Linked DNA regions of Macaca fascicularis. The protein of the gene in region 1 interacts with the protein of each later gene in a biochemical or structural test. Links are inferred from orthologs where the notes say so. Each region holds a gene or a part of one and is shown on either strand. Other genes may lie near its edges. The genes, in order: RHOA, CIT, SMURF1 and PKN2.

Evidence for each region.
Region 2: the proteins of RHOA (region 1) and CIT form a complex in vitro, tested with the Homo sapiens proteins (2 studies listed by BioGRID, with this or other methods). The link is inferred for Macaca fascicularis from reciprocal best matches to the Homo sapiens genes RHOA and CIT.
Region 3: the proteins of RHOA (region 1) and SMURF1 form a complex in vitro, tested with the Homo sapiens proteins (2 studies listed by BioGRID and IntAct, with this or other methods). The link is inferred for Macaca fascicularis from reciprocal best matches to the Homo sapiens genes RHOA and SMURF1.
Region 4: the proteins of RHOA (region 1) and PKN2 form a complex in vitro, tested with the Homo sapiens proteins (2 studies listed by BioGRID, with this or other methods). The link is inferred for Macaca fascicularis from reciprocal best matches to the Homo sapiens genes RHOA and PKN2.

What each region holds. Positions count from the first base shown.
Region 1 is NC_088376.1:112,409,700-112,417,364, forward strand, and holds the start of RHOA (transforming protein RhoA), read right to left. Parts: upstream 4,490-7,665; 5' UTR 4,293-4,489; intron 3,956-4,292; exon of another isoform or gene 3,784-3,955; intron 1-3,783. Other genes in the region: TCTA (T-cell leukemia translocation-altered gene protein), read left to right, coding at 4,900-5,122, 5,538-5,592, 7,609-7,651. UniProt on the Homo sapiens protein: Small GTPase which cycles between an active GTP-bound and an inactive GDP-bound state.
Region 2 is NC_088385.1:126,864,280-126,871,500, reverse strand, and holds part of CIT (citron Rho-interacting kinase), read left to right. Parts: intron 1-2,779; coding exon 2,780-2,921; intron 2,922-7,221. UniProt on the Homo sapiens protein: Plays a role in cytokinesis. Required for KIF14 localization to the central spindle and midbody. Putative RHO/RAC effector that binds to the GTP-bound forms of RHO and RAC1. It probably binds p21 with a tighter specificity in vivo.
Region 3 is NC_088377.1:47,600,855-47,608,075, forward strand, and holds the end of SMURF1 (E3 ubiquitin-protein ligase SMURF1), read right to left. Parts: intron 6,211-7,221; coding exon 6,126-6,210; intron 3,768-6,125; coding exon 3,668-3,767; 3' UTR 520-3,667; downstream 1-519. UniProt on the Homo sapiens protein: E3 ubiquitin-protein ligase that acts as a negative regulator of BMP signaling pathway. Mediates ubiquitination and degradation of SMAD1 and SMAD5, 2 receptor-regulated SMADs specific for the BMP pathway.
Region 4 is NC_088375.1:146,010,782-146,018,606, forward strand, and holds the start of PKN2 (serine/threonine-protein kinase N2), read right to left. Parts: upstream 4,170-7,825; 5' UTR 3,836-4,169; coding exon 3,788-3,835; intron 1-3,787. UniProt on the Homo sapiens protein: PKC-related serine/threonine-protein kinase and Rho/Rac effector protein that participates in specific signal transduction responses in the cell.

The DNA.
Region 1 (7,665 bases):
CGGTGGCTCACGCCTGTAATCCCAGCACTTTGGGAGGCCGAGGCAGGAGGATCACGAGGTCAGATCAAGACCATCCTGGTCAACACGGTGAAACCCCGTCTCTACTAAAAATACAAAAAATTAGCCAGGCGTGGTGGGGGACGCCTGTAGTCCCAGCTACTCAGGAGGCTGAGGCAGGAGAATGGCGTGAACTTGGGAGGCGGAGCTTGCAGTGAGCTGAGATCCGGCCACTGCACTCCAGCCTGGGTGACAGAGGGAGACTCCATCTCAGAAAAAAAAAAAAAAGAGGTCGAGACCAGCCTGGCCAACATGGTGAAACCCCGTCTCTACTAAAAATACAAAAATTAGCCAAGTATAGAGGTGCATGCCGATAATCCCAACTACTCCAGAGACTGAGGCGTGAGAATCACTTCAACTGGGAAGCAGGGGTTGCAGTGAGCCAAGATCACGCTACTGCACTCCAGCCTGGGCAATACAGTGAGACTCCATCTCGAAAGAGAAAAAAAAAAAAAAAAATAGGCCGGGCGCGGTGGCTCAAGCCTTGTAATCCCAGCACTTTGGGAGGCCGAGGCAGGTGGATCACGAGGTCAGGAGATCGAGACTATCCTGGCTAACATGGTGAAACCCCGTCTCTACTAAAAATACAAAAAACTAGCCGGGCGTGGTGGCGGGCGCCTGTAGTCTCAGCTACTTGGGAGGCTGAGGCCGGAGAATGGCGTGAACCCTGGAGGCGGAGCTTGCAGTGAGCCGAGATCACGCCACTGCACTCCAGCCTGGGAGACACAGCGAGACTCCGTCTCAAAAAAAAAAAAAAAAAAAAAAATATATATATATATATATATATGTACACACACACACACACTTATATATTTACTCATCCTCTTAAAAAATGAAATCAAGCTCAGTTTGGCATAAACTGCATACTGATTGCAATTCAGCAAGTGTATTTGATGTTTTTCAGTATTATTAGCTATAAAAATGTATTTGGCGGAAGTACCAATAAACTGAGACCAACACCCAGAATGAGCAGCTTCAGTGCCTGATTTTCAGTCACATGACTACCGTAATTATGAACATACCGAGGCCTTCACTTAATACTATAGCTCCACAGATTAAAGATGAAGGATTTTATAGTAATTACCAACTTCAAAATGTCTTGGAAATTTTAATCCCACAAATACTTAACAATGACATGTCCCCAAAGAGCCCCAAGTATAGCAAGACATGTAACATTAACAAGTTCAAAATTTAGTTATATTAATGTGTAGTTACAAGCAAACAGTTACATTGGACAGGTAAATAAAGGAATAAACGAATGACTTCCTTCAAGACAAAAAGAACCAAACAAGTCAACAGAGGTAAAAATTTAAAATCAAAACTATTAAAAAACACAAGTGGAACCAACTTTGAGGTAAAAAAGATTCCAGTTTTCCACCGTAAACTACTAAACAAGGTTTGTGAACAAATCAACTTGGATGCAAATAGCGCTATTCAATGAAGACGATCTGTAACTGTAGATCCAATGGTAGAGTCGGACAAAATACTTAGGATCCTTTTAAAACTACAAATATGGGTGGGCGTGTGGGCTCACGCCTGTAATCCCAGCACTTTGGGAGGCCGAGGTGGGTGATCACCTGAGGTCAGGAGTTCAAGACCAGCCTGGCCAACATGGTGAAACCCCGTCTCTACTAAAAATACAAAAATTAACAAGGAACGGTGGCTGGTGCCCGTAGTCCCAGCTACTCCAGGGGCTAGGGCAGGAGAATCACTTGAACCCAGGAGGCAGACGATGCAGTGAGCTGAGATCGCGCCACTGCACTCCAGCCTAGGCAACAGAGTGAGACTCCATTTCAAAAATAAAAATAAAAGTATATGGCCAATTTTAAAATCCAGTGACTATGTACTATTCATCATAATCACTAGTAACCATAATGCAATTAAACCCAAGGTGCTGTCTACAGCAGGCTCAAATTAGCTCTCTTAGAAGCTGAACTATCAGTCTTTCAGAGTTAACATAAATCTCTCAGCGCTCTAATTAAGAAGACGCAAACTAGCACCTTCTCCCGTCACTGCAGGGCTCCACCCCATGGACAAGAAACACTTGAAGAGCTACCTCTTTTTAACTCTCCTAATAACTTACACCCCCATATGACCAGAATAAACTTTTAAAAAGGAGTTAACTGACAAATGGAAAGAAATCAAGACTACAAAAATACTCCACCACCACCACCACATACATGTGCACAGGGAATTGTTTACTTGACACATGCAGTACCCCAAATTAATAGTCAAAAGTGCCCACAGTTACCTAAAAATATGTTAGCCTGACCTAAATATCTTGGTTTTGAAGCAGTAAAAGTGTAGGCCTTGCTCTAGAAGTTGGACCCTTTAAAAAAAAAAAAAAATCCGAACACTTAAAGCCATGATTAGGTCAGCCAGGGACCCTTGTACATTCATCTAGCTCCCTCAATTGAAGGCAGGACCATCCAGTTAACAAGGGGAGAGTGCTATGTAAGCTAATGAACTGAATTTTTTTTGGCAAATGAATTTTTCAGATTCTCCCAAACTATTCACCATCAACAAGGTTTAAAAGAAGAAACAATGGAATAAGCTGGAAGTCCTGAATTTTAGCTGACTCTAGAGGTCAAATGTTTGGGAGTAAATGGAGAATACCTTAACAGAGCAGACAGTTCTGGTCTGCTCCTGACTAGATAGATAATCCTGGGAAATTTACTTAAGTCTCTGGGACTCAGTTTGCTCATCTGCAAATGGGGTTAGACAACCACACCTGAAAGATTCCTCTTAGATCTAAAATTCAAGAACTATACATTATTCCTACTCTCTTCTTCCCTGCAACGCAGATTTTTACAACAGAGAAAATAAATCTAGCATTAGACTTTAACTCAAACCAAGGTGCACCTTATATATTTAATGTCCCCAAGAGCCATCAGTGCTCCACAAAATTAGATGGAACCAATTAAGACAAGTTATCCAGAGATCCTTCAATAAGTCATCCTTTACAATTAAAAACTAGTCTTTTTTCAGTCCAATGTCACTTGTGCCAAACGCTCAAAACAGTATCTCCGCCTATTTAGCCACATCTCAAGGTGACAATCATCCACATGGTACATACACACTACACATCTGGGTGATACTAAGTGGTTGAAAAATTCTCATCACACACATTTTAAATTATGGAAGTTTTTCAGTTTTTCTGTTTTTCTCCTTCAGGAAGGCAGAGTGAAATATAATCTACTTACAAACCTGCAAGAAGCGTTTATTTTAAAAGACTTCCTTCAAGACAAAAAGAACCAAACAAGTCAACAGAGGTAAAAATTTAAAATCAAAACTATTAAAAAACACAAGTGGAACCAACTTTGAGGTAAAAAAGATTCCAGTTTTCCACCGTAAACTACTAAACAAGGTTTGTGAACAAATCAACTTGGATGCAAATAGCGCTATTCAATGAAGACGATCTGTAACTGTAGATCCAATCAGTAACTAAGGTACAGATGCTTAGGTGATTCCTAATCAATACAGCGACTTAGACTAACCAATATTGCATCTGTTTTCATGCAACATCGCTAAATCATTTACAGTTTTGTGGTTTTGTTTTTTTTTTCAACTGGAAAATACCCCTTTTCCACTCAATACAGACCCCAAAGCTTTCATACGAGTTAGGGCGCGTTCGGGGTGGTATGGCCGTAGATCATACCTCTAAGCTTCCAATACAATCTTTTACTTACACAGTCTCCAACAAATCTGCATTAAAAGAAAACCTACCCAAAGTGTAACTGGGCTTTAATCAATATAAAACAGTGATTCACGTTTCTCGGTAAACGTAAAAAGCAAAATGGAGTTGTAAAGAGTTTCTTTCCCATTTCAACTCCGACAGCCACGCGCGCTTTCAGCAGCCGGCCACACTGCGCGGTCGGGGGCCCGGCCCAAAGCCCCCGCCCTGCCCGGCGCTGCCGGGAGAGGAAGCGCCGAGGACCGAGGGCAGGCAGGCGGGCAGCTTGGGCTCCACCAGGCCCGGCCGGGCGGGGGAAGGGGCACTGGAGACTACGGGGCGCGCTTCCGGGGACTGCGCGGGCGGGGTCGCCGATTTGGGGCGCGGGGCCTGAGCCGGGAGTCAGGTCAAAGGTCAGGGGCGGCTCGGCCAGGGGCGGCTCGGCCACGAGCAGCCGGTGGGGCGCGGCCGCTGCGGGGCGGCGGCCTGCCGGCCGGAAGACTGCCGGGCGGGCGGGAGGGCCTGGGGCCCCGCGGCGCCTGGAGGGAACCCTTCCGCTCACCTCAGGCAACGAATCCGAGTCCAGCCTCTTCGCGCCGGGGACGCCGGTCCGCGAGTCGCAAGCTCGGAGACGAAGACGGGTAGCTGAAGACCAGACCGCGGACTAACGAGAGAACCGACGGAGGACCGCGGGCGGCGGGAGGGGAGCGCGAGAGAGCGAGGGCGGGCGGCGGCGGGAGGGCGAAGAACGACGTGCGCGCCCCCGAGTGCCCAGCGGGCTCGAGCCGACCTAGGTCGCGGCCCCGCGCACGCGCGCGCACTCACAGCTCATCCACTATTGCTCAGGAGCGCGGCCACGCCCTAAAAGCAAAACCCTTAACCAATCATTGCAGCCGCGTGGGGCATCACGGGAACTCCGGGGCTATAAAAGACCTGGTTGCTATTTTGTACTCCCGGAGTCACTCATCCCTTAAGCAAGCAGGGTGGGGCTAGGTGCGCGTGCGCGGTTTTAATACTCCTCCCCAAACTGCCAACACTTCACTCAAGCGAAGTAGGCCCCGCCCTGCCTAGATTTACGCGTGCGCACTAACGGGCCTGGCACCGGAAGATCACACGCGTGCGTGGTAGGGACTACGGTGACAGTACCCCGGGTGGGGCGAGGGCCAGTCATGGCGGAGCCCTGGTCTGGGCAGGCCTTGCAGGCTCTACCGGCCACGGTACTGGATGCGCTGGGCGCGCTGGGCAGCGAATTCTTGAGGGAGTGGGAGGCGCAGGACATGCGCGTGACCCTTTTCAAGCTGTTGCTGCTGTGGTTGGTGTTAAGTCTCCTGGGCATCCAGCTGGCCTGGGGGTTCTACGGGAATACAGTGACCGGGTTGTATCACCGTCCAGGTGAGGCTTCCTACGAACTTCCGTGGGCTGGCCGCCCCCGCCCCCACCCTCTCCCGACTGTATCACTGGGTTCCCCAACTATCCTGCAAGAGGCTCATCAGAACTTAACATTGGTTCACGGCCTTACCACCCTGAACGCATCTGACCACGAAGCTAAGCCGGGTACTTGGATGAGAGAACTTAACGTTGTACCCTGACTCATGCCACCATACCATTTTACGCCAGAATCTCCACCAGTCCACCCATCACATTGTATCTGTTCCTCAGAACTCTCACCTGGCAATACGATTAGTCCCTTAGGACCCTTACTAGACTTCACCAAACAATACCAGTGGTCTCTAACCTGACCTGGGCTGATGCCTGCTCAGATCCCCACCCCAGCCTGCTGCAGCTCTGGATGTGTTTTTGCCTCCAGGTCTGGGTGGTCAGAATGGATCCACGCCTGATGGCTCCACGCATTTCCCTTCGTGGTGAGTAAATCTGTCCATACCGCAACCCCATGCTTGGCATTCCAAGGACACTCCTGTGCTGGTGACAGAGAAGGGAGTTCTCAGGCTATAAGCCCACCAGCTTAATAGCCTTTGCAGCAAGCTTCAAGTCTGCACGTAGAGTTCAGGCTTTGAGTTAGGATGACATCAAGGTCTGGACAGTCCATCAGCATGTTGTTCAGCAGCCTGTAGGACAGGTGGTGGTATTGTCATAATTTCAGAGAGATGAAATGACATGTTTGTTGGATTCCACTCCGCACAATCCCCTCAGTTGGAAAGGCAGTAATCTCTGTCCTTAGCACATTGACCTCATCAGGGTCAGCCTCCTCTTCTGCAAAACATGCACTCACTAATCAGGGCATTCATTCAGATAATCTCTGGGCCCCTATCACATGATAGGGACCACACGAGGCCCAGAGAACAAAGAAAACCCGGGCCCTGCTCATGGGGAGCCAGGGATTTATTAGGGGTGCATGGGGCAGGGGTGGTCAGGGAAGGCATCTCCCAAGAAAGACACCTAAGCCGAGATCAAAGGCCACAGGGTGACAAAATGTACCTGGCAAAGGGAATGGATAGAGCAAGGCTAAGAGGGAAGGATAAGGGTGACATATTAGAATAGGTAAGACTGTGATGCTGGAGCTTGAACATGAGAGTTGGACCCTGGGAGCCATTGAAAGACTAACTCAGCAAGACTGTGATCTGATCTAATTTGCCTTTATAAATGCCTACTTCATGGCAAGTAGATAAAGGGGTCCAAGAGTTAGGGCTAGAGGTTAGAAAGGCTGCCACTGCCCAGATTTCTGTCTTGGAGAAGAGGCCAGGCCCCCTGGCTCATGCCTGTAATCCCAGCACTTTGGGAGGCCGAGATGGGCGGATCACTTGAGGTCAGGAGTTTGAGACCAGCCTGGTCAACATAGCAAACCCCATATTTACTAAAAATAGAAAAAAGTAGCTGGCATGGTGGTGTACACCTGTAATCCCAGCTACTCGGGAGGCTGAGGCATGAGAGTCACTTGAACCCAGGAGGCAGAGGTTGCAGTGAGCCCAGATCACGCCACTGCACTCCAGCCTGGGCATCAGAGTGAGACTCTATCTCAAAAAAAATAATAGGCCGGGCATGGTGGCTCACGCCTGTTCCTAGAACTTTGGGAGACAGAGGAGGGTAGATCGCCTGAAGCCAGGAGTTTGAGACCAGCCTGGCCAACATGGCGAAACCCCATCTCTACTAAAAATACAAAAATTAGCTGGGTGTGGTGACGTGCGCCTGTAATCCCAGCTACTTGGGAGGCTGAGGCAGGAGAATTACTTGAACCCAGGAGGTGGAGGCTGCAGTGAGCTGAGATCTTACCATTGCACCCCAGCCTGGGCAACAAGAATGAAACCCCTTCTCGGCCGGGCGCGGTGGCTCAAGCCTGTAATCCCAGCACTTTGGAAGGCCGAGACGGGCGGATCACGACGTCAGGAGTTCGAGACCATCCTGGCTAACACGGTGAAACCCCGTCTCTACTAAAAAATACAAAAAACTAGCCGGGCGAGGTGGTGGGCGCCTGTAGTCCCAGCTGCTCGGGAGGCTGAGGCAGGAGAATGGCGTAAAAACCCGGGAGGCGGAGCTTGCAATGAGCTGAGATCCGGCCACTGCACTCCAGCCTGGGCGACACAGCAAGACTCCGTCTCAAAAAAAAAAAAAAAAAAAAAGAGTGAAACCCCTTCTCAAAAAAAGAAAAATAATAACAATAATAATAAATAAAAAGAATAATTTAAAAAAGAGAAGGATGGCAATGCCATACTAACATGGAGAACCAGGAAGAAGAATGGGTCTGCAGGGAGAAGGTGCTGGGCCCAGGGTGGGCTGTGGGAGATCAGCAGAGAGGTCTAGATTGTTATGTGACCTTACTGAGCCTAGCTCAATCCTCCAGAAGGAGCTTGGGAGAGCCAATTTCATCAACTGTTCTGCCCATGGAATAACCCCTCTCTCTTCTTTCTCTCCATCACTTTCAGGGAAATGGCAGCAAACGAACCTCTCAAAACCCACAGAGAATAAGGGAAGGCAGCAGA
Region 2 (7,221 bases), on another chromosome or scaffold:
TTGGTCTAAACTCTTGAAGAATACAAGAAACAAAGCGTTTTATTTTCCTGAGTTAGTGGCAACTATTACTAAAGTGACAGATATGGTGGCCTTGAATGCAGTGCTTCCCAAACCTGACTGAGGTCTGACTCTCTTGGGGACCAGGGTCTCATTCCGTTGCCCAGGCTGGAGTGTGGCAGCACAATCTTGGCTCACTACAGCCTTGACTTCTTGGGCTCCAGTGATCCTCCTACCTCAGTCTCACGAGTGGCTAGGACTACAGGATCATGCCACTACACCTGGCTAATTTTTTTTGTTTGTTTGCAGAGATGGGGTCTCACTGTATTGCCCCGGCTGGTCTTGAACTCCTGGGCTCAAGTGATCCTCCCACCTTGGCCTCCCAAAGTGCTAGGATTCCAGGTGGGAGCCACCTCGCCCTGCTGGGGAACTTGTTAATAAAACAGATCCCAGGCTACAGTCTGGAAAATTCTAATTCAATAGGTTGTGGGGGAGGGGAGGCATAGGACCAGATAATGTGTGTGTTTGTTTTTTTTCCTTAAATTCTCCAGTGCTCTTGTGATTCAAATGCAGCAATCCGTTTCTGTTATCAAGCTGTGTAACAAAGCACTTACGACCTTTAAAGCAACAATGATTTATTTTTCTTAGGATTCTGTGGATTGGCTGGACTCAGCTAGGTGGTTCTGCTTCATCCTGTGATGTCAGCTGGGGTTACTTGTGGGGCTACATTCAGCTGGGATTATGTCTGGGACTGGAACATGTGGGTGCTGACTGCTGGCTGGGGCACCTTAGTGTTTCTTACGTGGCCTCTCTTCTCCATGAGGTCTTTCAGTAGTGTAGCCCAGGACTTGTAACTTTTTTTTTTTTTTTAAGACAGAGTCTCGACCCGTTGCCCAGGCTGGAGTGCAGTGGCATGATCTCTGCTCACTGCAACCTCTGCCTCTTGGGTTCAAGCGATTCTCCTGCTCCAGCCTCCTGAGTAGCTGGGATTACAGGCGCTCACCTCCACGCCCGGCCAATTTTTGCATTTTTAGTAGAGATGGGGTTTCACCACATTGGTCATGTGGGTCTCCAACTTCTGACCTCGTGAGCCGCCTGCCTTGGCCTCCCAAAATGCTGGGATTACAGGCGTGAGCCACCGCTCCTGGCTGACTTGTAACTTTTTTTTTAAGTAATAAAGATTTTAGGCTTTGTGGGTCCTGTAGTCTCTGTTGCAACCACTCAACTTGGCCATGGTAGCACAAAAGCAGTTAAAAACAATATGTAAATGATGGATGTGGCTGTGTTACGGTAAAACTTATAAAAAGTCCGTGGGCTGGATTTGGTCCAAGGGCTATAGATTGTACACCCCTGGTCTAGCCCAAGCATCTTTGCATGGTGGCTGGCTTCCCAAAAGTGGAAACTGGTAAGCTGCTTTTTTTTTGAGAGGGAGTCTTTCTTTGTTGCCCAGGCTGGAGTGCAGTGGTGTGATCTTGGCTCACTGCAACCTCCGACTCCAGGGTTCAAGCAATTCTCATGCCTCAGCCTCCCAAGTGGTTGGGATTACAGGCACCCACCACCATGACCGGCTAATTTTTGTATTTTAGTAGAGACAGGGTTTCACCATGTTAGCCAGGGTAGTCTCAAACTCCTGACCTCAAGTGATCCACCTGCCTTGGCCTCCCAAAGTGCTGGGATGACAGACATGAGCCACCATGCCTGGCCGCTTGACAAGCTTCTTAAAGGCACTGCCCTGAACTGGCACAGTATCTCTTGTGTCACATTCTTTTGGTTGAAGAGAGTCTCAGAGATGGCACAGATTCAAAGATAGGAGAAATAGACTCCAGCGCTTAAAGGAAGGAATAGCATGTGTCTACTGAATTGGAGGAACTGTTGGAGGCCATCTTTGCAGCGAGACCACACTATTCATGGCTTGGCACGTGGGACTCACTGCTCTACACCAGGGTCGCAGACTCATGTCTTTGGGGGCCGGGCAGTGAGTATAAATGAGTTAGGTGGGCCAGTTGGAAGATGGAGTCAGACCTGCAGTGAACTCCGGAACACATCTGCTACCGGGAGGGGCAGCATTACTCAGCTCCAGCTCAGCGTCATCAGGCAGGAAGGCGAGGCAGGAAGACGAGGCAGTGTTGCCGGATCTGCCAGTGTTTCAAGAGAAGCCAGAGACTCCATTTTTATTTTTTTGTATGGAATCTCCTGATTTTGAAATATTGGCAGATAATTCAAATTATCTTAAACACTACAGGCCAAACAAAACATATCTGTGGGCTAGAGACAGTCTGCCAGTTTGTAACTATTTCTCCAGATCATGAGTAAATTTGGCTTTATGATAGTCACTCAGTTCTCATTACTCTAGGTTGTTCAAATGAATTAAAAAAGCTGAAATTATATGAATAAACCCCTGGGCACACGTGAAAGAAGTGAAAAACCCATGTTTCCTATTGTAGAAACATGGAAGCATGTCAGAGCCAGAGGATCCAGAGGAAGTATTCTCACTAGCCTCAGACCCTCAGGAGTGAGGGACCTTTTCTTGTTAATGGCCATGCTTGTGCAGTTTTCCCTCCCAGGTGCTGGTGAAAGAAACCCACAGTCCTGGAATCATGGAAGTGATACCATAATGACTGTCGGTTGACGCTGCTTTAAAGAATGAAGCCACAGAATTGTGCTGTTAGCATGTCGTGAGCAGTTAGTTGAGTTGGTGGCTTGTAATTTACTCTGTGTGGATGTTATTGATCAAAGCTTTTCATTATTGACAGTGTCTCCATCTGCTGTTTGCTGTTTTTAGGGGAAACCACCCTTTATGACTCAACAGCAGATGTCTCCTCTTTCCCGAGAAGGGATATTAGATGCCCTCTTTGTTCTCTTTGAAGAATGCAGTCAGCCTGCTCTGATGAAGATTAAGCATGTGAGCAACTTTGTCCGGAAGTGTAAGTTTGGGGAACTTTTTCTTGAAAACCGTCCTGAGAGAGAAAAGTAGAAAGATGCTTGAGGCAGAATGAGTTACTGGTTGATAGTAGTGGGTAAGAACTCTGGTTCTATATAAGACAGATCCAGGTTCAAGTTCAGGCTGCACCTCTTATAGCTGGGAGACCAGGTAAGTTGGGCTACTTGGTTGCAAGTGACAAACTCAATTCAAAGACTGAATTTAGGACAGGTGCAGTGGCTCATACCTATAATCTCAGCCCTTTGGGAAGCTGAGGTGGGCTAATCGCTTGAGCCCGGGAGTTCAAGACCAGCTTGGGCGACATGGTGAAACCCTGTCTCTACAAAAAATACAAAAATTAACTGGGTATGGTGGCTTGCACCTGTGATCCCAGCTGCTCAGGAGGCTGAGGTGGGAGGATCACTGGAGCCCGAGAGGTCAAGGCTCAATGAACCATGATTGTGCCATTGCACTCTAGTCTGGGTGACAGAGTGAGACCCTGTGTGAATAAAAGAGTGAATTTATTGGCTTATGAAACAGAAATCCAGGAATGAGTTAAGTTTTAACTTTAGGCATAGCTGGTTCCAGAAACCTCAATAATACCCTGTGACCTCATGCTTATACTCACTCAGGACTGACTTTCTATTAGGCAATGTAGGCATGGTGCTTAGGACCTGTGATATTTAATTTTAATGAATTTAATTAGTTTTAATTAACTGAATTAAATTTTAATTTGTTTTAAAATTACAGGAAAAATGAATGTAATAATGTATAATGATTCTGGATTACATTCATCTTTATACCAATGTAGTCATAGAATAAAATTTTTGTTTTTTTTGGAGACAAGGTCTTGCTCTATTACCCAGACTGGAGTGCAGTGGTATATCACAGCTTATTGCAGTTTCAACCTTCTAGGCTCAAGCAATCCTTCTACCTCGGTGGCTGGGACTACAGGCTCACACTACCATGCCCAGCTAATTTTTGCTTTTTTCTGTAGAGATAGGGTCTTACTATGTTACCCAGGCTGGTCTCAAACTCCAGGCTTTAAGCAGTCTTCCTGCCTCAGCCTCCCAAAGCTTTGGGATTACAGGCGTTGAGCCACCATGACTGGCCCCATGAAACATAATTTTCGAATTCTTTTTTGTTTTTAATGGAGGAAGGGGCTGAGGAAGGCAAAAGTACCTAGGGCCTATGAAGTCATATATCGGCCTTGCCTTCACCCTGTTTCTGACTTTGCTTGACTTCCATGTGATGGGGCAGTTGACTGGTGGTGTCCCAGTTTCATACTCTCACATTAGTGTTTTTCAACCAGTGGGTGACTTTGCCCCCTAGATGTTTTCGGTTGTCAGAGCTGGCTGGGGATGGTGGTGTGTGAGGTTGAGGGGAGGGTCCTACTGTCAGTTAATGGGTGAGGCCAGAGATGCTGCCAAACACCTTACAGTGCACAAAGCAGCCCCTGTAACACAGAAGTATGTAGCCCACAATGCCAGTAGTGCTGAATTTGAGAAACCCCACCTTGTACAACACTGCTGTGCAATCAACCACCCTAAATATTAGTGACTTAAAACAATAGTCATTGTGGCTGGGCACGGTGGCTCATGCCTGTAGTCCCAGCACTTTGGGAGACTGAGGCGATGGATCACGTGAGGTCAGGAGTTTAAGACCAGCCTAGCCAACATGGTGAAACCTTATCTCTACTAAAAATACAAGAATTAACTGAGCGTGGTGGTGGGCGCCTGTAATCCCAGCTACTTGGGAGGCTGAGGCAGGAGAATCATTTGAATCTGGGAGGTGGAGGTTGCAGTGAGCCAAGATCTCACCATCGCACTCCAGCCTGGGCAATGAGTGAGACTCTGTCTTAAAAAAATAAGTTATTGTATTACCTCTCGTGTGTGTAGGTTGATTGGACTCAGCTGGGAATTCCTCTGCTCTGTATTACATTGGCCAGGATTGCCGTCACCTGGGACTCTCCTGGGCTGGAATGTGTGAGAGGGCTTACTCACTGTTTGGTGCCCTGGCTGGGAGACTGGGCCCAGCTGGGCCTGTCTCTCTTCATGAAGTCTCAGGGCCTTTTGCTGTCTACATGGCACCTCTATGTGGTCTCTACATCAGAAGTCAAGGAACTACAGCCTGTGATGCCTATTTTGTAAACAAAGTTTTACTGGAACAGCCACACCCATGTGTTTGTACAGTGCCTATGGCTGCTTTCACATTATAACAGCATTTTATTTCATTTTATTTATTGTTTTGGAGACAAAGTCTCACTCTGGCTGGAGTGCAGCAGCACAGTCATAGCTCACTGCAGCCTCCAACTCCTGGGCTCAGGCAATCCTCCTGTCTCAGCCTCCTCAGTAGCTAGAACTACAGGCCCATGCCACCGTTAACGGCTAATTTTTAAATTTTATGCAGCGATGGGATCTTGCGAGATTGCCTAGGCTGGTCTTGAACTCCTGGCCTCAAGAAATCCTCCCACCTTGGCCTCCCAAAATGCTTGGATTACAGGCATGAGCCACTGTGCCCAGCCCACAACAGCATTTGAGTAGTTGTGATAGAGATCAAATGGCCTACAAAGCCCAAAATAATTCCTGTTTGGCTCATTTCGAAAAGGCTTGCTGACCTCTGAGCTACATGGTCTTTCTAGTAGGACAGCCTCGATGGTAGCTCAGGGTTTCCAAAACACAAAAGTGGAAGCTGCCAGGCTTTCTTAGGGGTTATCCTAGGAGGAACATAGGATCTCTTTGGCTGCATTCTATTGTTTGATGCATGCTCTGGGGCTGCTCAAATTCCACCTGAGAGGAAACTACACAAGGGCATGAATCCCAAGAGGACTGGGGTATTGGGTGCTATTTTTGGAGACTGGCTACCACACCCTGCCCAATGGTTATCTTCCCTTATCTAGGTTAATACAATCCCAGGGAAGATTCTAACTTGGCTCTGCTTTGGGTCATTTGCCTCCCTGGAGGTGAAGTATTGTGATCGGTTTTGTTGGAGTGCCCAAAGGGGTCAGGGCAGTGTGATTACCAGCACCTCATGGGATGGGGGATGCGTGGTTATGCAAAGGAGCCGGGGATGCTGAGTAGAAAAGAATCAGCATATGTTCACTATAGTGCCCTTCGGTATTTTACATGTACTTTGTTCTCAGTTTTCTCATCTGCAAAACAAGAATAATGTATATCCTTTTTTTGGAGTCTTGCTCTGTTGCCCAGGCTGGAGTACAGTGGCACAATCTCAGCTCACTGCAATCTCCACATCCCGGGTTCAAGTGGTTCTCCTGCCTCAGCCTCCTGAGTAGCTGGGACTACAGGGGTGCACCACCACACTCAGCTAGTTTTTTTATTTTTAGTAGAGATGGGGTTTTGCCATGTTGGCCAGGCTGGTCTCAAACTCCTGACTTCAAGTGATCCACCTGCTTTAGCCTCCGAAAGTGCTAGAATTACGGGCATGAACCACCGCACCCGGTGGGAATAATGTATATCTAGTGAGGCTGTGTTGGGATTGAGTGAGTTAATGCACAGACCAGACTTGTCATGTTGCCTGTCCCATAGGAGACAATAAATGGTACCCAGTAATCATAACTCTGAACCTCAACAACATTTAATATATTGTATATCTTCAAAATGTACTTGAGATATTTGTTCATCATTCTGTTTTTGTTTGAATAAGCTCCCGCCTTCTTTTTTGAATATTTAAATTTATAAGTAGGGAGTGGGAGGGGAAGGAAATTATGTGACGAGGCTAGCTTACTGAGCCATCTGCAGGCACCTTCATTAGTCTTGAGGCTGTCCTCTGGTTACTTAACAGCAGTGAATTATCTAGAACCATATAGTGATCAGAAGACTTGGTTTAGTGGAATGTAGATGTTTTTCTAATAGAACTCTCTTCCAGGGAAATGTTTCATATGTTTGAAGAGGTTTCCTGGGGAGTGGTTAAGAGGCCATGATTGAAAATGGGTGATTACATTACGTTTTTTTTCCTCCCCTTTTTGAGTGTCTGTTTTGGAATGTAAGCTTTGTTTTTCCATGTGGAGAAGGGTCCCTCAGCTGCTTCTGCCCAGGTTTTTTGAATCTTCCTATAGGGATGGAGATTTTCTTTGGGGACTGTTAGAGAAAATAGAACAGAGAGTAGCTCTGAAGGATGTCTCCAGCAGAAGTACCCCTAGCCTTGGGCCAAGGGAGGGAAGGGAAGGGATTTTTGTCTTTCTTAATTTCTCTTACATCCCCAGTACCTAAAATAGTATCTGGCATATGTTAAGTACTTAATAAATACTTGTTGAATGAGTGTATTGCTCAGTGAACAAAATAAAT
Region 3 (7,221 bases), on another chromosome or scaffold:
CACTCTGGGAGTCCGAGGCGGGCGGATCACCTGAGGTCGGGAGTTTGAGACCAGCCTGACCAACATGGAAAAACCCCACCTCTACTAAAAATACAAAATAAGCCGGGCGTCGTGCGCGCCTGTAATCCCAGCTACTCGGGAGGCTGAGGCAGGAGAATCACTTGAACCCGGGAGGCAGAGGTTGCAGTGAGCCGAGATTGCACCACTGTACTCTAGCCTGGGTGACAAGAGCAAGCCTCCATCTCAAAAAAATAAAAATAAAGAAAAATGAAGGGAAAAACGAAAAGATAACCAGTGCGCAAAGAAATTCTAAATGTTCTCAGTCCCATGTTTTTGCTTGGTAGAGCACTTTCAACCCACTGCCATATTGTCATTAGTTTCCCTTACAATTCTATCCTTAACTCTGTCCTTTTCCCTTGGAAGGCCCTTGCCAGTATTCCTGCCTACACACTTCCTTTCTTGTGGGTTTGCAAAGACACTGGAATCTCATTTCCACACCAAAATAACAGACGCCAAAAATGTAAAGTCGTGAGTTTATTGCATATGTAACAAAATGAACCTGACCTCCTGGGCCCAGCCTGCTGTACAATCACTGTTTGTTTTGTGTTTCCAGCTGGTTCCATAACCACATTAAATAGAACTAGTATTTCATTAAATACTTTTGATTTTGACATAAAACAGAACATTAGTGTACAACTTTCACAAAATAAATCAGCGATAAAAACCGTGGGAAGGATAACAAGGATAGCAGCAATACTTAAAAACAAGACATTACAAAATAAATTAAAAAATACATTATAAAGTGGTTGAGAAACAAAAATAAACACATTTTTAAAATCCATACTATGTTTCGGGAAGGCTGCCGTGCGGCACACACCTGGCTGCAGATGGCGGGTAGGGGGACATTTTCTCTGCAGAAGGCCTTTCCTGACATCTCGGACTGGGTGACCACCTTAATCTGAATTCGGACCATATGTCTGAACAAGCTCAGGGGTCGAAATTCGATCTGGTGGCAGATTCTCTTTTCAGAACTGGAGAGAGCCCTTTTCCTGTCGCCCCGGGCCTCCCAGGCAGCCTCAGCTCTTCCTACCAAAAGCACTGGCAGAGTGGTGTTTGCTACATCCCTGAGTGTCGGCTGACGGCCGCTGGTGAGGGCAAGCCTGAAAAGCCGGGCCCCTGAAGCATCTGGGCAGAGGGGCAGGGGGCATGGCTGGATCGCCTGGGACCACCGAGAGGGGCGACACAGATCACACGTGAATGGGCTTCGTGCGGACCCAAAGTCCAACAGTCGGGAAGCTTTTACCATTTGCTTGCCATATTGAGTTCTTTGGGGTGGTTCAAAAGGACCAAACAAACCATCGTAGAAACTGAAGGTTCTGGGAGTGCGATGCCACCGATAGGGAGGCCTGTTTGGAAAGAGTGAACCGGAGCTCTGGAAAGGTCTGCGACACTCACACGACCGATGACAAGGCGGCAAACCCACACGCAGGTGGAAGTGGAAAAGCAGAGACGGGGGCCGGGACAGGAATGCCATGTGTCCGCCGGGGCCACCTGTGGAGGACCCGGGACCCAGCCCTCTGGCTCTGGGCTGAAGCAACACCCGGCACGAGAGGCAGGGCAGCACCGACCAGCATGGGGCTGGCGGGTGCAGCTGCTAAGGCTCGCCCCCGACTCCTCCCAACAGCAAAAAGGTAGTTTTAAAGGCGTCAAATGCAACATTCCTGCTTCAAAGTCTTTTAAACCATGAGACCCTGGTTTCCTTCCTAGTTACTGCAGATTTTGGATACCACCACCAGGACAATCAGGTGGGGCCTCCGACCTCATCCCGGAGGCCGCTTCAGTTCTCGGATGGATGTCTCTTCTGCCTCCCATGGGTTAGGCTCGTGACAGAGAGTGGGCTCTCCGGGGGAGGGCTGTAGTTTTCACTTCCTCACCTTCAAGAGGAAGATGCAAGGAAAGGCTGGATAGAGCCACTGGGAAACGGGCTTCTAGAACACCTTCAGGAAGCATCATGGTGAATGAGACACAGGATGCACCCACCTGGGGGGGCAAGGCAGAGCTTTTCAAAGAGGCTAAGCCCACCATTGGGCCTGGACTTCTGGAATGGGGGATTAAACTTTCCTCCTGCAGCAAACCTCGTTTGGCAGCCCTTCCATTCTAGAACCTCAGCAGCCCAGAAGTCAACAGTGACAAAAAGAACAGATAAAACCGTTGTCCACAAGGTCCTTCCCAGGCCATCTCAGACCCACAGCGGGATCCCAGAGACTTCGACAGCAGTGAAATGTCTTGCTCATCGATTACCCTGTACTTGCCCCCACCCCAAACAAAAACAACAAAGAAACCATACAGGAACATTGGTTGCTGCTGCTGTTTTCTGCCCAAGTTCAGCTACTGGAAATCAAGCCACTTTAAGATAAAACACTGTTTGACTTCTGTGCAAACTGGAAAATGGTGTCAGAAACTTCGAGTCTAGGCTTGCTTCTGGCCTTGCTGATCATACGAAGACATCTGGGCAAGTGAACCGAGTAGCAATCGTTAGTGTCACCAGCTGCCACTGGGAAAGGGGCCACACGAGGCAGTGTGGAGCTGTCCCCCTCTGCGGTCACAGGTTTGCGTCCACACTCTACTTTTTGTAGAACAGTATCTTTGGGTGGATTTACATCATCGAGGTTATCCTTTCACCATTGCTTTTAAGCTAGTTCGCACCAAGCCAGCAGCTATGATAACACAATTTTGTTAGTTTAGCTCTTAGCAGTTGCCGCATCATGGTTTACTAATATTTTAAGTGACACAGTTGATGCTCTTCTATGGACAACAGTGGCACAGAGGTCACAGCTTTGGGACTGACTGGTTGGCTCTAGGGCTGATTTTGGTCTGCTCTTTTCTACACTCCGTGACATGGTGTTTTCACTGAAAAGAAAAGTCAAACTGGACAGATAATGCAGCAAAAGGGGCCCTTAAAAGATGGTTTTTCTCTACGTAAAATATTCTCAGCCAAGACACCCAGCAAAGAAATATCCTGGCTCCAGGAAAAGCTGCTCCAATTCCTTCTCCTTTCAAAGGGGCAACGCATTTTGACTCAAGCTTCCTGCTGTGGCAGAATTCCAATAAGCATACGTTATGCAGTTATTTTTCAGTTGGAAATTCATCTGCTGCCCAGAACAGGCTGCTGGGATGTGAAATCTGGAATCTGAGCTCTGGTAAGATATCTAGCAGCTGCTCAAATTGAAAAGGGGCCCCAAGGCTATTTGAGATGGAACAGCGGGGATAGCCAGCAGTTCCAAACCCTCAGCCAGCCACACTCAGTCCCCTAACTGTGGGCTGATGCTCCCGTAAAGAGCTCAGGGCCATGAGCCTTATCACCACATGGGTTGCAACCACAGCAGAATATCCTGTGTGACCAAAGCCAAAGGCTAACCCTGGCTGCATTTTATTGGATGGGTGATGGAAGCGGGTGGGAGTACTATAATAAAGGAGAGATATATGGGTGGGAGCCACCAACAAAAGTCCCCCATCCCCCTCCCCCAACAGAAAGGAGAGAGACAACCCTTTCCCCTCAGGTGATCCGGAATTCCAGGGCCTCTGCCAGCTTTGCAGGAGGCGCACAGAAGCTGGATGCTTTTGGTCTGGTGGCCATGAGCTAGACTCTGTTGCCTTTGGTTGCTTTTCACTCCACAGCAAACCCGCAGGTCTCCTCCACGGCTGTCAGCAGCTTCTCGTAGAGCTTCTCATAGGACTCATATGGTGGAATGTCGATCCGGTTAAAGCTGAAAAAGGACAAAAAAGTGAGAGTCACTGGGTGGGCAGTCCAGCCCTGGGACCAACCTCAAGGCCAAGGACAGGCAGCGAGAAGTGTGTGTGGGAGGGGAGAGGAATGCGGGGCGGGGCAGGAGTGGTGGTGAGTTCTCCATGTCCCCCTGTGCTTTTCTGCCTCTAATACAAAGATTTGTAATTTGTTTTTGCTTTTTGGTAGAGACAGGGTCTTGCTAGTTTCCCCAGGCTGCTCTCAAACTCCTGGCCTCAGGTGAACCTCTTGCCTTGGCCTCCCAACATGCTGGGACTACAGGCCTAAGCCACTGTGCCCAATCAACACACAGTGAAGTAAGTCTTGAGCCTTGACAACCAAAACATCACCAAATTACTGTTCACGGCTTCTATCAGGACAAAGCTCTCCGCTTGTTTTTGTCTGTCTGTCTGTGGGAGAAATTCTTTCTCTGTGCTAGGAATGCCTCTTTGGCAGCCCGTGTAACCCAGACTGGCTGTCAGGCAACGTCACCACTAACGATGTATTGCGTGTCTGTCTGTTCCTCTGGGACTTGATCTGAGACCAAAACGGGGCAGTCTGGAAAATTCCTTGCAAAAACAAAATCTCAAAACTAGTAAGATGACAAATCCTTAAAAGATGAAATGAATACTCAACTTTTGACTCGGTATTTCCAGGGGGAAACTCGTTTCCAGTATTTGTGCAAAGAAAAAGACATCCTTTAAGAAGCTACCATAGCAAACCAAAAAGTACAAAATTGTGACCCAGAGGACATACAGTGACTTCCTGGCTTCCTAGGGTAAGCAGTTACGGAAGGTGTCTGTCTCTACAGAGCTGGGTTCCAGGGTGGGCCCTCTTTTTTCTGTGCTTCAGAGCATACTTTCCACATGCATCTAACACCAAGCACTGAACTGCTAAAGGACAAAAGCCTTGTGAGTAGGTGCGCAGCCAACATGGTGCGTTCCCGTAACGGATGCCACAGCCACGCTCGGAGCAGGACCCTGGCACCCACCACCACGGTCCAGGACCAACTGCATTACCCCATTTCACAAGTGCGGAAAACCAAGTTAGAATATGAAGTCACTTGCCCCAAACCACATGTCAGAGGGTGTCACAGCTAGCATTTGATCCCGCATCCTTGGTTTCCAAGACAGGAACCTTCCATCATCTCACTGGGCATCTCAACAGCATCTAGAACTGGTTCCCCCAAGGAAACGCGGCTACTCGTCTCAACGGATGGTTCCAGGACAAAGTGCGTGCCAGTGACTGGATTTTTAAACCATACAGGAAATACTCTAGTATGGAGACTCATTTTTAAGTTAAAATTTAGGAAGAAAATATTTGCAATAGACAAGGTGCGTGTGTCATAAGCAGGAGTCTAAGAAGATGGGGACCCAGAAATGTCAGATAAAGTGAAGACCAAAACTAGACTATTTTCCTTACCAACAGGTGTGTGTACATAAGACCTGGCAGAGAGGAAGATTTGAGCCTGCTGGAGTGGTAGCCACACTCCACTGAAACACCAATGTTAATTAATGACATGGCTCATAACAAAATTAGTTTCATAAGATACTGTGACAACCTTTCTGTGGCATGCTGCAAAGTACTCGTCCCATCTGACACAAGCACTACTGCCAGTCATTGAGACTTGGCATAAATGAAACAGAGTCCTACAAATCAGAAAACAGCTTTAAAAAAATAACATGAGGCCGGGCTTGGCGGCTCATGCCTGTAATCTCAGCACTTTGGGAGGCCGAGGCGGGCAGATCACCTGAGGCCAGGAGTTCCAGACTAGCCTGGCCAACATGGCGAAACCCCGTCTCTACTAAAAATACAAAAATTAGCCGGGCGTGTTGGCGAATGCCTGTAATCCCAGCTACTCGGGAGGCCAAGGCACGAGAATAGCTTGAACCCAGGAGGCAGAGGTTGCAGTGAATCAAGATTGTGCCACTGCACTCCAGCCTGGGTGACAAAGCAAGACTGTCTCAAAAAAATAAAAAACTAAATCAAGAGAAAAATCTATATTTAAATTTTAGGTTATATATACTGTAAGATTTTATGTTAAGTTTAGCAATAATGTTGGCCCTCTTATAGATATTTTGTTGCATGGCCAGTAAAGCCACTCTATACAGCGTTGTCATGTTGGAGGAAGAGTCGCTTGCTTGAGGGCTTCAGAATTGTCATTCAACTCTCGAATTTCTCCTTGTGTCTCAGGTGCTGTGGCTTTTGAGTTTTGATGATGACAGAAATATTTTAGCAGAGACTCCATCTCCAAAAAAAAGAAAAAACAACAAAACGAACGTGAACGTCGGCATCCTCCGGGGCTCCCAGGACGCCGTGACTTCCTGGCCGCAGTGCTTACCAGGTATGGGCCTTCGGAAGGTTGTCTGTGTTCGCGTCTATCAGGTGGATAGTGAACAGCCGGGGCCCTGCCGCGCCTGTAGAACCTTACAAGACAACATTCTAGTTAATGTACTTCAGAGGCACAGCTGTGGCACTTCCTGGCCACACGGCCCCCAGGAACCAGGGCCCTGACCACGTTCCCACCCCTACACCCAGGCAGGCTGTCCTGTGATAGGGCCATGAGGTTCCCAGGCCCGGTTTTAGGACATGCCTGCAATGGCCATCAAAGTGACAACATTCAGACATTTTTTTGAGACAGGGTTTCTGTTGCTCAGGCTGGAGTGCTGTGGGGCAGTCTCAGTTCACTGCAACATCTGACTGCCGGGTTCAAGCAATTCTTCTACCTCAGCCTCCCAAGTAGCTGGGATTACAGGTACACACCACCACACCTGGCTAATTGTTATATTTTTAGTAGAGACGGGGTTTTGCCGTGTTTCCCAGGCGGGTCTGGAACTCCTGGATCGCCTCAAGTGATCCACCCGCCTCGGCCTCCCAATGTGCTGGGATTACAGGTGTGAGCCACTACACTTGGCCAAAATTCCAACATTTTAGAATATCTTGCAGGGGGCAGAGCAAGAACTGCTAAGGCCCCTCCTAAAGTGCACCCTGACCATGAGCCTGCTCCAGACAGGCTCCCTGAGGGTCAGTGCTGTTTGCACCCACCCTCTGGAACAGACGACTTGCCCACCAGTTCTGTGGGGCAGGGTGAGGCACCAGCCCCTTCTTCCTCAGGTCTTTCCAGCCTCAGCCCCAAGTGAGCACCAGGCTGGCCAGCAGCCACCACTGCTGCGGCAAAGACGGCTAGCTGACAGGGCTGCCGGGCGCCGGGAAAGGAGGGCACAGAGGTCACGGGCCTTGGCTGTGCTGCCCCTTGCTCCTGTGTATTCACAGATATTCCTTTCAAGCTGGGCCAAGGTCAGCGGCAGGACAGGAATCCAGGAGCAATGAGGACCAGCAGAGACACCATCTTCCTGTTGGGCAGACAGTCTCAGAGTGCAGCCTCCTGCTTCCTGGGGACCTGGGACAGGAAGGTGGCTCCTCCCCCTCGCAGGCCA
Region 4 (7,825 bases), on another chromosome or scaffold:
TCACACCTGTAATCCCAGCGCTCTGGGAGGCCGAGGCAGGCAGATCATGAGGTCAGGAGTTCAAGACCAGCCTGGCCAACACAGTGAAACCCCGTCTCTACTAAAAATACAAAAAATTAGCCAGGCGTGGTGGCAGGTGCCTGTAATCCCAGCTACTCGGGAGGCTGAGGCAGGAGAATCGCTTGAACCTAGGAGGCGGAGATTGCAGTGAGCAGAGATCGCACCACTGCACTCTAGCCTGGGTGACAGTGCGAGACTCCATCTCAAAAAAAAAAAAAAAGAAATAGTGTAATGGGAAACATATAGACCTGGGTTCAAACTCAGACACACAATGTAACCATAAGCAATTTACTTAATATTCTTGAACTTAAGTTTCCTGATCCACAACATGAAAATAACACCTACCTTATTGGATCGCTGTAAAGATCAAATGAGGTGTATAGGATACTAAGTACAATGTCTGATATGTAGCAAATAATTTTTAAAATGTTGTTTGTACTCTCTTATAATTATCCTCTAGTACAATTATCTATACTCTCTTCTGGAAAGCAAAAACCTATCTTGTCATCTTTATATCCTCCAACATAGCTTTGGTAGATACTACATAACTGTTTGGTGAAATTAACCCCCGTAATTTAAGGGTAACTATCTCAACTTTCCACTTGAGCAAGTTACCTCTATCTAAATAAAATCTGCTGAGAATGGAATTTAAAATTCCCAGACCAACACTTTATTGGGCATTTTGATGAAGAAAATGAATCTCCAATAATCAACAAGATAGCTTTATTAGCACACTGCTCAATATTTGGTCTGCATTCTACAAAATTACCATTGTAGCCAACACTTTCATTTTGAGATTCTTTACAGTTTTCATTAATCCAGGTTCCTTGAAAATAAACTTTAGCTTCTTTGGCATTGCAAAAATGTCTAAGTTTTCTGCTATACTTCAAATAAAAAATAAAGAGAATACAACACAACAAATTAGTTATGAGATAAAAATTAGAAATTGGCCATTTTAAACAGCCAATTTTTATTTTTATTACGGTAAATATTCTTCCTTATACCTTGAAACCTCTAGCCACCAAAGTTTACATAGTTTATTAACGCTTCCTTGTTGAATAAGCCTCCTGAATTACTACCAATACTTAAAAACATTACTCCATGCTATTACAGTAATTAACAGGACAGAATACTGTCGTTTCAGATTTTCTTACTTTGCCTTTCCACGACCAAAAGCTAATTCCAGCTCAAGCAGTGGAGTATTTCAAATTCTACAATTTGAAAAAATAATGAAAAGCTGGATATATTTCTAAATAAATATCAATTTCATTAAAGGTAGGTTGTAATATGTAACTTTCAGAGTAAAACAAGTATTCCTGAGACAGGATACATAGCAAAGTAACAGTTTTAACCATTAAATACATCTTAAAACTGGCTACAGAATTTCTTAAATACTTAAAATCTGTATGGCAGAAAAGAATTAAGAATGTCATATTAAACAGTATTTCAGTCTAAGTTCAAACAATTTAGAAGCTTTTAAAAAAACTGATTCTTGAAACGAAAGTTTAATAAATACTTGGTTACTGTACACTAAGTTTCAGGACCCAATGAAATAAAATGTTTGAACGGATGGAAATATTTGGTGAAGCAAACTTTATGACTATCTTTAGTGTTGATGTAAGTAATATTCTCAAAAATTTTAATAAACACGATAAAGTTTAAATGCAATAACTTTTATCAAAACTGGGAGTCAAATAAACCAAGAAAATGACTTGGATATATGACAACCTATAAGGTAACACTTAATAAAAACTATTCTTTTTTCTGGAAGGGGTTATATTTCAGTTTATCTAGAAGCTTAACTTTAGGTGTTCCTCTATTTTGGTCATATTTCTAAGTCATCATATTGAAAATTTCTTCCTTCTTTGCTTGCTTCCTTGTTATTACCAAAATTGATCTTTTTAATTAAAAGATCCTAAATGTTGTATTTTAATACACATGAAAATATAATTTTCAGTTCCAGTGCCAAAGTAGGTGTCTTTTATGCCAATTTTCTATAAAATACAAGTAACAATGCCAAATATATTATAACTCGAACACTGCTCAATTCAAAAGAAAACTGACCCTATCATCCTTCTCAATCAAAACCAAAGTATGTTTTTCATGGTTCAAGACCAGGTAATGTAAAGTATTTCTCACTTGCCTCACATCATCTCCATTTTAAAAGCTGATGCAAATTATTTACTATTAATAAAATAGTAAATTACATTCATTTAGCAAATGTGGTATGCTGTACGATCTGCTTATAAAAGGCTAACTGTAATTAAAATATTACATAGCAACATTTTCAATGATATGAAATTCAGCTTTGCATTACCAAAGGATTCTAAATGTGCAACACTGCATTGGTATACATTGTTACAATCTCTATTTTTGTGGAGGAATATCAACTATTATACCAACGTTTTCAACCTTACGTCTGACTGCACAAGAAACCAAACTTATAAAGAGATTTCTTAAAAAGTGTATTTAAACAAGAAATTTAGATGCAGTTGCAATACTTAATTTTGACATCAAGAATCAACTGTTTCAGAATTTCTAGATTTAGTCTTTCTTTAAAAAAATTAACTGTCCAACACACAAAAAGACATGCAAGCATGCTATTTTTTTCCCTAATTCCCATCTACAATCTTCGAGTAGCTAAAAGATAACTATATTAAAATAAAGCAAAATAACTTTTAAGTCAAAAAAACATGAAATTTTAACATCTTTGTTAAAATTCAGATGTAAACACTTCTGGAACACTGCCAAGTAATGAAAAACCCGACAGGGTAGCTTAAGTCCCCATGTACACCATAGAGATCTAAAAACGAAAATCGTGCCTACATCATCAAATATTTAGCTGGAAATGGGAAAATAATAATACTGCTACTCGACATGGACTTAACTAAGCGATCTATTTTGCTCTTATCTTTTGCAGACATGTGGTGCCCAAGTTTTCCCTTTCTCATTAGTAAACAACTTATATAGCTCTTTCTCTGGTGCTCAAATGAGAGGGAAAATGAAAGTCTGAAAAGCATCAGCATCTGAGCTTCCGGATCTGGGCAGGGGTAGCCGAGAAAGGCACCGTGTATCTATCACTTAGTTTAAAAAAAAAAAAAAAAAAAAGGAAAAGAAAAAGATAACTCTCAAAATAGAGGAAAGAAATTCTGCCACCTGAAGAGGGCTGGCGAAGTGAAGCAAGCATTTGGTGAGACTCGTTTTTTTAAAAAAAACTTGTCTAGGGGCTGGAAGTTATGGGGGCGCTCTTTGTGCGGAGTCTGAGGGGAGGGGGAGGGACAAGAAAACAGCTTGGGAGTCATTCAAAAGAGTTTAAGGAGCCGAGTACGGAGGAAAGGCGGGGCGGGGCCCAGCCGCGCGAAGGGAGGGGGCGACAGGGGCGTTCGCGGGCAGCTCTGACACCGCGGGAGGGGGCGACGGGCCGGCCTCTCCAGGGACCGGGCGAGAGCAGGCTCCAGCTGCAGCAGGGCTGCAGAGATGGGGTTCCCTCTGGTAGGCAGAATCAAAGCAAAGCGGTGGCAGGCCAGGGCTTTGGCGGGGGAGAGGGTCTGGCTCCCGAGGGAAGCGGTTCCCCGAGGGAAGCAGTTCCCGAGTGACATCCCGGACTTTCCGCACTTAGCGGGCTAGGGGCGCGGCGGCCGCAGGGCTTTCCTTGGTCCCCGACGCCGCGCGGGGCTCTTTCCCTGTCTACTCAGCCAGCGACTCTCGCCAGGGCCGCGGCCCTTACCTGCAGTTCCGTGAGCATAATCTCCCCCCGTTCGGGGTTGGACGCCATTGCGCTCCGGTATGGACTCCGCACCTGGAGGCGGCCGCCGCTGGCAAAGGGAGAAGGCGGGACGGGGCTCAGGGTGGGGGGTGAGGAACGGGGAGAGAAGAAAAAAAAAAAACACAAAAACTAGGGATTCATGGAGGCGCAGCCCCTGCTGGAGGCGCGGCTTATTCCGTCCGGTTCATCGAGAGCGGCGGGGGTGCGAGGGCACTCGTAGCGGGCTTCCTCTCGCCGCCCGCCCGCCGCCGCCGCCGCCCGCACCGGACTGTTCGCCTAGTCGCTCCCTCTGGGCGACGCCAGGAGCCGCCTCAAGTCTCTCCGTGCGGGGCGCTGCGGCCGCGGCTGTAGCTCCTCCTGTCGCACCATTTGGCTGTCACCGCGTCGCAAAAGCGGCCTCACTTGGCGGCTGCCAGCACACGTGACGGCGGCAGTCACTGCCTCTCATCGGGCTGGGAAGGTGGGGCAGAGGGGTTCCCCAGGGCTAGCAAGGCGAGAGGGCGGGGCGGCTTCCGACCCGACTCCGCGCGAGGGCAGCCATTGGACTCGGCTGGGGTGAAAATGAGGGGAAAGGACTGGGCTGGAGTCTCTGGGGAGGCGGGAAGAGGAAGAAAACACACGCCTACTTTCCTGCTGCGTTAACGGCCTCACTGTGAACACTAGAACTCGGGAGCCTGCTCGCTGTTGTTTTTTTAGGTTTTTTATTTTTTTTCTTTTTCTTTTTTTCCCCCCAGTTCTACCTTGCCGAAGCTTGGGCCTAACTTTAACAGGCACTTTTGTAACCTCCACAACCCAAAAAGCTTCGGAACTCAGATCTTACAGATTACTCCTCTGTTCTTCCCTTGCCCGGCCATCCCCATCAACCCAAACTAATAATCTTGCCTTTTGCTCACCCTCTTCCCCAGCCCACAGCGCGCCTTCTGGACCAGTTAAGGTGCGCAGCTTGCTAAACGGGTCTGGTCTGTACTTTTCATGAAATGTAAGCGGCTGGATCCCTGGCAACTTTTAATGCACAGCCTTTAAGATGCCTTTTTCTTGAAGCTGAACTACTGTTTCTTGTGCTGGAGAACTCTAGAGCTGAGAATTAGCTGGTTTTTTGGATTGTTTTAACTTTATTTAAAGAGGGAGGAGGTGGGACGGGATTACCCTCGGGAAAGGAAAAAAGCCAACTCTCCTTGTCGTGGTAAGCATTAAAGCTAACCTGACTACTTAGTAACATATAGCTAAGTAGAGTAAATCTAGGTGTTTGTTTTTAATGACACTGTAGTATTAAGGAATTTAGAAGTCTCCCACAGGTAGCTTTTGTTTTTGTTTTGTCTGAGCAGTGAATGGATAGGTAAACACGTAACTTTCAATTTTTTGAAGCTGCGGTGCAATTCCTTTGTTAAAAACTACCTGGAGAAAGTGGTAAGGGTTATTTAGGTAGGTTGCTACTTAGGAAGGACATTCGTTGACATAATTCTTAGGAAGCGTAATATTACGTACTTGTCACACGCTCCGTGTAAATCTGTTGGGCTGATGCTAGGACTTACGTTTATCCTTTTGCCTTCTCAAGTCTCATATATCAATTCAGCAAACATCTATTGAAGATCTGGAGTTCTGTGGCCACAGTTTCTGAATTCTAACTCATATGTGTGTGATAAAGAATTTTTCTGGTGTGTACTTCACAAGTCTTACAACTATTTATATATCTAATATATTGCCTTGGTTGAAAGTGATAATTAAATTTACGTGAAAGAACACTTGGAAAGGCCAGGATGTGATTACCTTTCCTGGTAACTAGAAGCCAGATGGTGTCCTAGGCTTTGGAGTTACAGCAAGGATTAAGAGTTCTTATCCGGCCAGGTGCGGTGGTTCACGCCTATAATCCCAGGACTTTGGGAGGCCAAGGCAGGCGGATAATCTGAGGTCGGGAGTTCGAGACCAGCCTGGCCAACATGGTGAAACTCTGTCTCAACTAAAAATACAAAAACTAGCTGGGCATGGTGGCGTGCGCCTTGTAATCCCAGCTACTCCGGAGGCTGAGGCAGGAGAATTGCTTGAATCTAGGAGGCAGAGGTTGGAGTGAGACTCTGCCTCAAAAAAAAAAAAAAAGAGGTCCTTATCCTTGGAGTGACTGGAGAATTCTTTGGGGAAGCCAACTTACATCTAAACAACAATAATTTTAAGTAATAGATACAAAGTGTTAGGGGAGTACTGCATGCTTGTGTGTGTGTGTGTGTGTGTGTGTGTGTGTGTGTGTGCATGTTTTATTGTGGTAAAATGCATAATCAAATTTATTGTAACCATTTTAAGTGTACAATTCAGGGGCATTGAATGCACACAGATTTATTTATTTATTTTTGAGACGGAGTCTCGCTATGCCACGAGGCTGGAGTGCAGTGGTGCCATCTCAGCTCACTGCAACCTCCGCCTCCCAGGTTCAAGTGATTCTCCTGCCCCAGCCTCCTGAGTAGCTGGGACCACAGGCACGTGCCACCACGCCTGGCTAATTTTTGTATTTTTAGTAGAGACGGGGTTTCACCATGTTGGTCAGGATGGTATCGATCTCTTGACCTCGTGATCTGCCCGCTTCGGCCTCCCAAAGTGCTGGGATTACAGGCATGAGCCACCGTGCCCGGCCTACAGATTTATTTTTGTCACAGCTTACTGCAGAATGGATTTGAGATGGCTGTCATACACATAGAAGGTGATTAATAATGGTGGAACTAAGTTAACTGTGCAAGGGCTTAGAAATACAGTCAATGAGCGGTCTTTGTAAAAATTAATTTAGATATAAATGTTCACATTTCAGCATCATGTAATTTTAGAACTAGAAGTGACTTGAAATACTTAGCTTAACTCCTATTATAGGTAGGAAAAAAATAACAAATAGTTTCCTTAGCTATTTAGGAACAAGACAACAGTATTACTTAGTGGCAGAGGTGGGGACTATTACCTAAGTCTCCTAATTGCCATTCATGCTTATTTTAACCTTCACCATGCCACTATAATAACTTTAAATTGATATTAAACTGAAAGCATTAGACTCTCTTAAATTTTTACCATAGAAAAAGACTTTAAATTTTACAAACTTCTAATGTTAAAACAATGTTAATAATTAAAAAAATTTTTTTTGAGACAGTCTTGCTCTTTTGCCCAGGCTTGACTGCAGTGGCATGATCATAGCTCACCACAACCTCAAATTCCTGGGCACAAGGGATCCTCCTGACTCATCCTCCCAAATAGCTGGGACTATAGGTACACACCACTGTTGATAAGGAATAATAATTTTACATTTCACCTATAAATTTAAGCAACAAATATACAAAGTTTTAAAAGTTATGGAATTATTTCTGAGATTAGCCGTGCTAGGGAAAGTAGTACAAAATGGAGGCCAACAATATTAAAACTACTTGATAATCTGAAATATGTGATGATTTAGACAGCAAATTAGTTTCATTTAAGCTGAAATTTACTACCCAGGTAACATTCTCTGTTGAGGGGGAAAAAATGTAATAGGACATGGATCATACTTACCAGACTGCAGCACACTTGAAAAAGTTTTAATAGAAACACATACCAGCTTGATTCAGATGGGTTGTATTGGGCCCCTGTTTACAAATGTGTTTAGGGAATCCTCAATATAGTTCTGAAGTTGTGGTCTAATTTACGTTAACAATAAAAAAAAAAAAAAAGTTTTTTTAGCATCCATTTAAGAGGGCAAAGTCCTTAAAATTATCTGGATTGTATCACTAGTTATGCGGGTACCTTTTTAAATTTTTCATAAATATTTTAAAGGTCTTTAAGAAGTAGAAATGACCAAAAATCTAGACTGAATAGAAAGTGTTATCTTTTTTTCTTAAAGATGAGATGTTACAGGAAAAATTCTAGAAAAGCTAACAATTGTTTTTTTTTTTTCTTTTTCTGTGTTTTTGAAACAGATATTCTGATAATATGGGCCCTCTTTTTCCTTAAATTTCAAGTGAAATGAGACAGGAACCATATATCCAGGGAAAG